Mus musculus: one gene and its partner. The protein of the gene in region 2 interacts with the protein of the main gene of each other region in a pairwise test. Links are inferred from orthologs where the notes say so. Each region holds a gene or a part of one and is shown on either strand. Other genes may lie near its edges.

Region 1 (4,319 bases), about 25 Mb from region 2:
TAGGGTGCCATGAGAACTCCACTTCAAATGGACTCAGCAAAACTTGAGTCCCAAATAAATCTAGCTTTTAGATTTGACACTGCAATTACTCAACATGTTTTGTCTCCTGTGCCCTCTTCTGGATCCAGAAAACCAGTTTCTCATAGCTTTGGAAGTAATGGTTCATAAAAACTTGTTAAGTATTTCCCTAGCATTTTCTAGATTTTTTAGCACAGTACCCAACGACCAAACCACATACGGGAAAGCCGCTGAGCCCAACTGTTAATAACCTCTAAATTTCCTAAACCCAGTTCCCTCCTCATTCTTCATCCCAGGTTAAGACACATTGTGAGGAGGGCCACCTTCAATGAATGGTTCAGGGTCTGCCTTTCTATGCAGTGAGGAGCCCTGTGGGGAATACATAAACCTCATAAAAGACAAATTCTGAATCTGTGAACAATACCACTGGGCAACCTTGATACTTTCTCACCTCATGAAAAGCAAAACTAATACAGTTACATAATTCCTAAGTTTCTAGGCTGCTGTAAATCCTTACAATTAAACACTTCTGCTCTATCATCAGTCCCTACTACCCTACAAAAGAAAATCTGATATCCACTCAGCTCTGCCTTCAAAGTTATATTGTCTACAGTAAGTTTTTCACCAGTAACTTACTTGTATTACTTGAAAGACTAAGTTTAACACTTCTTTCTTCATTCCCTTTTCAGTTAAAAACAAAACAAAACAAAACAAAACGTGTGAATATATAAACTTTGATGCTTATTTTAAGTAGCTCAAGGCTCCACATTTAATGTTAAATAATACTCAGTTAGGGGATGGAAGTCGGTTTTAAAATGCACCAAAACGCCTCTTAACCACCAAAAAGGTCTTGTCCAAGGTAAAGGGCTGGTGACAACCACATGGACAAGTCACTTCCAGTTCATAGTTAAAGAAACAGGAAAGCCAAAACTGCCCGTGTTGTCCCACCCATTAGAGCATCGGATTAATCCCTCCCACAAAGTCACTACCCAGCTCAGAAGTTTAGGTGTTCGGTGGAAAACGAATGGAACAAAGTTTGAGAGGTTGTTCCCCAACCCCCCCCCATTTTTTTTTTTTTTTTTTGGGTAGGAAATGCGCTGCTATAAAGAAAAAAGGCCTAAGTGAAAAAGCCTCCGAGGCGGAGTCGTGAGCGAACCTGGCAGGAGATGAGATTCCTGTGGCAGAGAAACTCGTGACCCGGGAGCTTGGTTCCCGCTGGGTACCCCACCCGGCCTCAGGCACCGCCTCTCCCCAAAACGAATCCCCCTCGCCCCTCGCAGGCCAGCGGAACGCTACGGCCACGGCCGCCGCCCGGGCCTCCTTCCCCCTTCAAGCTCCTCTTCAAGGCCCGCTCCCCGCCCGCGCCTCCCGCCGCACCCGGGAGCGGGAAACGCGGCCGTCGGGCGCGCGGGGCCACGGTGCAGGCCGCTCCCCTCGTGGCCGCTTCCCTCCCCCACCCCAACCGCCCCCGCCCCTCACCCCAGGGACCCGCCCGGGGCCGCGCGGCCGCCACCGGGTTACACAACCCCGGCGCGGCGCGGCGCGGAGGGGGAGGGGCGGCGGGCGGCGGCCGCCCGCAGTGCGGGGGGGACCCGGAAAAGGGCCGCAGAGGGTCCCGGGGCAGCCGGGCCGGCGTGCCGTGTGGCCTTCGGCACCCTTCCCCCTCCGCTCCTCCGCCGGCCGGAGTCGGTGACAGGAATCAGCTTCCAACATGGCGGACAGGAAGCGGCCCCGCGAGGAGGAGAGAACATTCCAGCCTCGCCGGCTCCGAGGCGAGCGGGCCAGGGGCGCCGGCCTGCGGAGAAGCCCTCGCGGACAGACAACGGGGTCCGGACGCGCAAGACGGGCGTTTAGGGGTGGAAATGACCCGAGGGACGATAGGGTCCCCCACACACCCAGACGGCAAACCCCAAGGCCACAGGTGGGCTCGGGGCGGCGGGTGAGCGAGGACGCTTCCTCAACTTAGCCCTCAGCCCCGCTCGTCGCCGCCTGCAAGCGGCTCTCGCGACACCACCCGCATCAGGATGGATTCACTAGGCCTGAATTACATACACCTCGGGGGAATTTTTTATTTTATTTTTTTAGGGCGGCTGAGTTTCACCCCCTTCTTAGGGGCCCCCACATTCAGGCAACTCCAGGGCCCGCACTAGAGGGGAAAAAGAAGATGAAGGCTGGACTTCCAAGGCCGAGGGCACAGCTCTGCCTCCGGCCGGCCGGGGCGGGGACCGAGGAAGGTCACGCCGGCCTGGCTGGGCCTCTCCCATGCTAAAGGGAAGGAGAGGGCGCTGCAATCCCCACCTCGCGGCCCGGCCCGCGCCCGGGAAGAATGGAAGGGGGCATCCCCGGCCCGGCGGGACGCACACCCGGACCGGGTCCGCGCTTTTCCCATCTAGCCCCACCCCCATCGCTTCCCCCCCCTCCAATCCAGTCCCCCTTCCCCCACCGCCCTCCCTCTCAGACCTGTTTTCTTCTTCGGCGTTTCCTGGTGCTGCTGGAGGGTGTGTTTCTGCTCATGTTTCAGCGGCTTGGGCTGGGCCTTGGGGCTGCCCTCGGCTCCATGCTGCAGGTATTGGTGAGGCTGCTGGTGATGGTGGTGGTGGTGGTGGTTGTGGCTGTGGTTGTAGAAATAATAATGGTGGTGGTGGTGCGACTGCTGCTGCTGCTGCTGCTGGGGATGATGGTGCGGATGGTGGTGGCTGTGATGGTGCTGAGGCTGTGGCTGGCCGGGCTTCTCCTCCATTGAAAGCGGCTGGGACTCCCTGGCTGAGGCTGCGGGCTGCTGCACCGTCAGGATCTGAGACTGCTTCTCCGCGCTCGCTCGGTATATCTGAGCGCGTCTCGCCAGCGCACTGGTTAAGCGAGAGGATCTGCGAGATTGGCAGCCGTGCTCCAGCAATGAGGAGCCACGCTGCGCGTCAAGCCCCGCCCCTAGCTCAAATCCTCTTCCCTTCCCCTTCGCCACCGCCGCCTGGCCAACGCCACTTACCCTATGCAACCTCACAGGGCCGGGCCTTCAACGTCAGCATTATGGCTCTCTCTTCTATCGCTTTCTCTCCTTCACCACGCAGTTAGCGAACAGCACTTTCTACACTCCTCACACCGAGCAAGCTGATGTCGAGTGTAGCAGATTCCACTGACGATTCTACTGGCGCTAGGAGCCATCTGTTGGTTTTGCACCTCCTAGAATGTGTTGGGTTGTGAGTGTGTGTGTGTGTGTGTGTGTGTGTGTGTGTTTAATTCTTTTCCGGGTAGCCAGAGAGGAAAGCTCAATTTCCTTAACCCTTAAACCACGAAGGGGGCAATTCAAAAAAGAGGAAATAAATACATTTTTAAGAATACAAGAGCTTCACAACTCGATAGATCGTTTTCGTATTCTGGATTCATTTTGCTTTGTATTCATATGCTAATCTCTTCCTTTCCACGGAGGGATTATAGGGTTCCACAATAGGGTATCTGTGTAATTTTCTAAAAGGGGACAAAGGGCTTAAATCATTGTTTCTTTGTAGTTGAAAGCAAGAGAGAGGGAGGAATGAAAAAAATCTACACTGAAGTTTTTTGGGTGTTTTTGTTGTTTTTTTAATCAAACACTGCAGGTGAGGTCAACTATGGAACCAAAATAGATTTTAGACTAAGACTTTCAAAAGTGAAATAAAGGAGAAAGGAACCCTTTAAAAGTTCTTAAGGTTTGGGTTTTTAAAACATTTTTGTATTAAATTTAAGGAAAACATTGAAATGTAAAGGTGTATTTGCAATTTATGCTGTTAATTTAACCTGTTATGATAGGAAGAAGGTTGTGATAAGCACAGACACGGGGTACCCTCGAAATATATATTTGGGGGACTTGGCTAGGAGTTTTGTTTGTTTTGGACTGGTTTGTTTTTGAAACAGACTATGTAAACCTGATTGGCTTGGAACTACCTAAGTAGAAGTGTCTGGCCAACTAAGAGATTCCCCCTGTTTCTGCCTCATGAATGCTGGGATTAAAGTCCTACACACACCAGCATACCCCAGCCAATGTGCTATTGCTATTACATGAATAATTGCTTTAAAATTCATTAAATTAGATATACATTTGTCTATGTATTATAAGGGATTTTTTTTTTTTTTGGTACAGCCCTGGCTGTCCTGGAACTCACTCCTGTAGACCAGGCTGGCCTCTGCCTTCCAAGTGCTGGGATTAAAGGCATGCCCCACCATCACTGCCCTCCCCCCAAGGGAAAATTTAAATGTAAAGTTTACCATCTTACTTTGTATTTGTTTTGTTGTTTTGTCTTTGTTTGTTTGTTTGTTTGTTTGTTTTT
Region 2 (4,518 bases):
GTCCAAATGTTGTTCTGTGAAATATGCGCTCCCTCCTTCAGACGGAAACCAGAACCTCTCGTGTTAGATTAGAGCAATGCCATTAAGCTGTAGCCCCAGAAGTTTGTTCTACCTTTTTATTATTTATTTCAAGCGATTGCGTATGTAAGTCTGGGGGTGCGCTAATGCTATGGTGTGTGTGCAGAAGTCAGAAGTCGTGGTTTCTGGGAGTCATTTCTGTCTTGTGAAACAAAGGAAGCAGGTTTGTTAAGCTTTTACCTGCTCCCCATTTTATTTCCCCTTGAGGCAGTGCTGCGTCTAGGATGTAGCTCAGTTGGTAGCACTTGTAGCTCAGCATGCTCAAGGCCCTAGGTCTAATCCCAGCAGCACAGAAACTAAACACGGCAATCTGCACTTGCAATCGTGGCGCTTGGGAGATGGGGGCAGAAAACTGAGAAGTTCTGTGTCAGCTATCTATCAAGCTGAAGCTCGTCTGGAACACAGGAAACCCTGACTCAGAGGGTGAGCTGCAATGTTGCTGAGTCTGGTTTCCAACTCCTGGGGTTCAGCAGCACCCCTTCCTCAGCCTCCGCAGATGGCTGTGTCTCACTAGAAGCATAAGCAATGGTCTGTTCTGGGGACACCTGTATGAATGTCATGGAACACCTATGCTAACACCATCAGGATGCAGAATGATGCACCAGTCTTACACACTTTCTGGGACTCCAGTGTAAGAAGCCCTCACGGAATTCCACAACCCTGCATGCACTCCTCTCTATGTAAGACTCCCACTGTCCTGAACTGTATGGCTGACCCCCATGGTCTCTATTCACCCACCATAACAATTCCTCGAAGGTGGGGACAGCTGAAACAAGGAAACCCCTTCCATCTCGACAGCCACCAGCCTACTCCACAGGCAGTGCCACACACTTGGCTAATGCCCTTATCTTGAACGTGGCTTTCAACCCTTGCTAGAGGCTGTCTGTAAAGAACAAGATATAAACTACCCAAGGAAAGGATTCACTGTCTTTCCCAATCTAGTTTCAAGTTCCTCTGTCCCACCTTATCAGCCTCTTAAAATTCTTTCAGCTTCAATTTAATGCAGTGCTATCAATATGGATTTAAATCTCTTCTTCCCCCCAGTTTGAGCCAATCTCCTGCCTCCTCCCTACACACATCTACAGTGCCCGGTACTCGCCCTTGAACCTTTATTAGATTTAGTCTAAGCCACTCTCCCCATTCAAACCTGGGGACTATTTATCTTCACCCTCACAACCATCTTCCAACTGGTTTCGAGTCCTTGTCTGCCAGGCGTGAAGAGACAGGAATGTACAAAAGTCCCGATCCAGAAGCAGACACCCTCCAGTAAACGACCTTGAACGCGTGCCCTCAGGGCAGCTCTCCTAACTGTGGGTGCCCTTAGGCATGAGGTGTCTCATCTCTGCAACACTCTGCCGCCAGAACCCAAACCAGCAAGCTCTGCCCTGGGGGAGGCGGGCTATGTTGTCATATGATTCTCTAATCACATGATCCCTAGAAATGGGGTGTGGGGAGAAAGAGGAAAGGGAGGAGGAATGTGAACTGAGTAGAAAAGAAACACAGCATTCCAGGAGAGTCCCGCCTCTACGTAGACAAGTAACCAATGGAAGCCCTGGATCTCCGAGCAATGGCTAATGGAAATTGAGGTGGGCGGGCCATCGTGCGGCCAAGCCCTAGTCCTGGAGCTGACCGCCAGATGCCTCCCAGGGAGCCCGGACCCCGACGCAGGTAGGAGGACCCTCTGCAGACAATCTCCCCGGCTACTGTCCAGAGGTCCAGAGGCCTGACCAGGCTGCCTGTGCAATTGAGGGTCCTCTGGAGTCTCAGCTCAGAGACAAGAGAAGACCTGCCTCTTGAAACTCCCCTAGGGGTTTCTGATGCACTAACGAGGTTGTTTTTTTCTTTTCTTTTTTGGAGGGGTGGGGGCAGTTGTTGTAGAGACACCTCCCCGCACCCCCTCCCCCCCAATAAGAGGCTTCTCTTGCCCAGCATGTCGGAAAGCTGCAGGCCTTTCTCCAGGACAGGAACCACCCCACTCTTGGGCCAGCTCCTCTCTTGTCCGTACTTCCCACCTCTGTCTCCAGGTCCGGCTCTTTCTCTTTCGGACGCTGCAAGTGTTCTCTGCGGCGGCGTGCATTGGGTGGGGATCTCCGGCCCTTGGCCCCCAGAGCTCAAAGGGGTTGCGAGCAGGACCAGGGCGTGATGGCTGAGTCCCTGGGTTGTGTCAGCTTTATTTCCTTTCTTGGGGGGCGAGAGAGCTAATTTCCGCCTCTCCCCGCCACTTTTCCCCCGCTGCCTCTCATCTGGATTGGCTCACCTTTTAGGAAATTCATTTCCCCTCGACACTCAGAGTTGGGGGGTGCCACCTAGTGGAAGATGTCGGAGCTAGGGCTTTGAAAGGCTCCAGTTCTCCCTAGCTGTGTAGTGTAGAGGTGGCCAGGGGCTCACCACTCCCTAGCCCCGTTGAGAGGAACTGGGTCTTCCCTACCCCTTCCTGGTTAGGAGATGGCCTCTGGGATGTTCTTTGAATTAGGTGAAAGGGCACTTGAAAAGACCTAGAGAAGGAAAGAGAAAGATGGCAGATCCTTCTATGTAGCCCAGGCTGGCCTGGGATTCACCTTATAGCCCAAGTTGGCCTGGCACTTGCAACCCTCCTACCTCAGCCTCCCAAATGCTGGGATCAAAAGCATGCCTGCCATGTGTGGGTGGCATTTCCTGTCTTTCATAGCCACCAGTGTCCAGGCAGAGAAGAATTGAGACACAGGGAGCAATTTCTGACATAGAGTGTCACTTCCAGGACTAAAACCCAAGTCTCTGTACCTACTTTTTAAATATTTTATTATTATTATTATTATTATTATTATTATTTTTTTTTTTTTTTTTTTTTTTTGGTTTTTCGAGACAGGGTTTCTCTGTGTAGCCCTGGCTGTCCTGGAACTCACTCTGTAGACCAGGCTGGCCTCAAAACCAGAAATCTGTCTGCCTCTGTCTCCCAAGTGCTGGGATTAAAGGTGTGCACCACCACCGCCCGGCTCCCACCCTGTTTCTATCCTGCTTGGGTCACCTGCCAGAAAAATGCTCTGTCCTGTCCTGTTTGGACCTCTGGCCTCTGGGATTCAGGGTCCTTCTCTGACAATATTCAGGGAGACCAGTTGGCATATGAACCCAGTCCCATATCCCGTCTTTTTTCCCTGACTTGATCCTTAGGCATGGATTTGAAAAGTGAAAGTAATATTATAATTACTGTTTTGCATAGTTGTTGCAGAGAAATACAGTAAGGAGAGGGAGAAAGACTCCCTAGAGGGTCTTTGAATATTGTTGGGTCATTCTGGGTTGCTGGGTAGGCCAGCTGGGCTGGGGAAAGGCTTATTAGGGAAGTGAGAGGCTCGGTTCCTCCTGCTGAGGCAGTGAGGCACTGTGCTGGGTCTTCCCACTTGCAGCTGAGTTTCGGTTTCTGAGGGGGGAGAGACGGAGGCGGTCCGTTTGAGGTGCCCTGGTGATGTCGGGAAGGGCTCACCATGAAGTTAGCTTTAAGGCTGATCCAGTCTCTGTGTCCCCTTCCCTTGGGTGGGGTGGGGGGACAGTTGTGGGTAGGCGGTGGCTGGCCCATAGGGAAGCCAGACCAGACCCCACTGACCACTGCACTTCTGTTTTTACAACTTTCTCCACTGCTCGGTTTCCCATATGATCATGTGACTGATGACTGTCCCTCTCCATCCCCCAAGGCTTTTGAAAGCTACAGGTGGCAGTTCAGTGCCGGCAGTGGGGCTGGCCATCCTCCTGTGTCTGCTGAGGTCTCCTCTGCCTCCCAGTTAGCCCACAGTCCCATAGATAAAGCCACAAAAGCCACATGCCTTCCTGACTGCCATACCCCGTGCCCCCCCCCCCCACTTACCCAGAGTCTCAGCCGTATGTGAGGCCATGAATCCACACGTGTTCATGCCCACAGTGTGTGCCAGCTGACGCATGTGCGCTTGCTGCACACTGGTAGGACGCTGACACAAGCGACACATCTGCTTGCTTTCCTGTTGGCTTGTTGAGAAGACTCAATGAAGCCAGGGCCTTGGTCAGAGCACAGGGGAGTGCGTGGCCTCAGAGTAGAAGGTGGCACAGAGTTTAAGGTGGCTGCCAAACTTTGCTTGGCATTTGTAGGCAGACCATGTGGGTCCTGATGAGCTGGCTGGCCTTCGCGGCAGGGCTGGTAGCCGGAACACAGTGTCCAGATGGGCAGTTCTGCCCTGTTGCCTGCTGCCTTGACCAGGGAGGAGCCAACTACAGCTGCTGTAACCCTCTTCTGGTGAGTGCCTCCTGCCCCAGTTGGCACCCCGGGCCTTTTGAAGGGCTGGCTACCTTGGATTGACCAGAGCAAGGCTGGCACAGACCCTTTGGTTGATGTCATCTCTTCTTTCCAGGACACATGGCCTAGAATAACGAGCCATCATCTAGATGGCTCCTGCCAGACCCATGGCCACTGTCCTGCTGGCTATTCTTGTCTTCTCA

Evidence for each region.
Region 1: the proteins of Grn (region 2) and Nufip2 interact in binary tests that used the Homo sapiens proteins (3 or more experiments, as listed by UniProt). The link is inferred for Mus musculus from reciprocal best matches to the Homo sapiens genes GRN and NUFIP2.

Annotation. Positions count from the first base shown.
Region 1 is NC_000077.6:77,684,667-77,688,985, reverse strand, and holds the start of Nufip2 (nuclear fragile X mental retardation-interacting protein 2), read right to left. Parts: upstream 2,848-4,319; 5' UTR 2,759-2,847; coding exon 2,479-2,758; intron 2,431-2,478; exon of another isoform or gene 1,175-2,430; intron 700-1,174; exon of another isoform or gene 655-699; intron 1-654. UniProt on the Homo sapiens protein: Binds RNA.
Region 2 is NC_000077.6:102,428,795-102,433,312, forward strand, and holds the start of Grn (progranulin precursor), read left to right. Parts: upstream 1-1,712; 5' UTR 1,713-1,746; intron 1,747-4,170; 5' UTR 4,171-4,177; coding exon 4,178-4,315; intron 4,316-4,430; coding exon 4,431-4,518. UniProt on the Homo sapiens protein: Secreted protein that acts as a key regulator of lysosomal function and as a growth factor involved in inflammation, wound healing and cell proliferation. Regulates protein trafficking to lysosomes, and also the activity of lysosomal enzymes.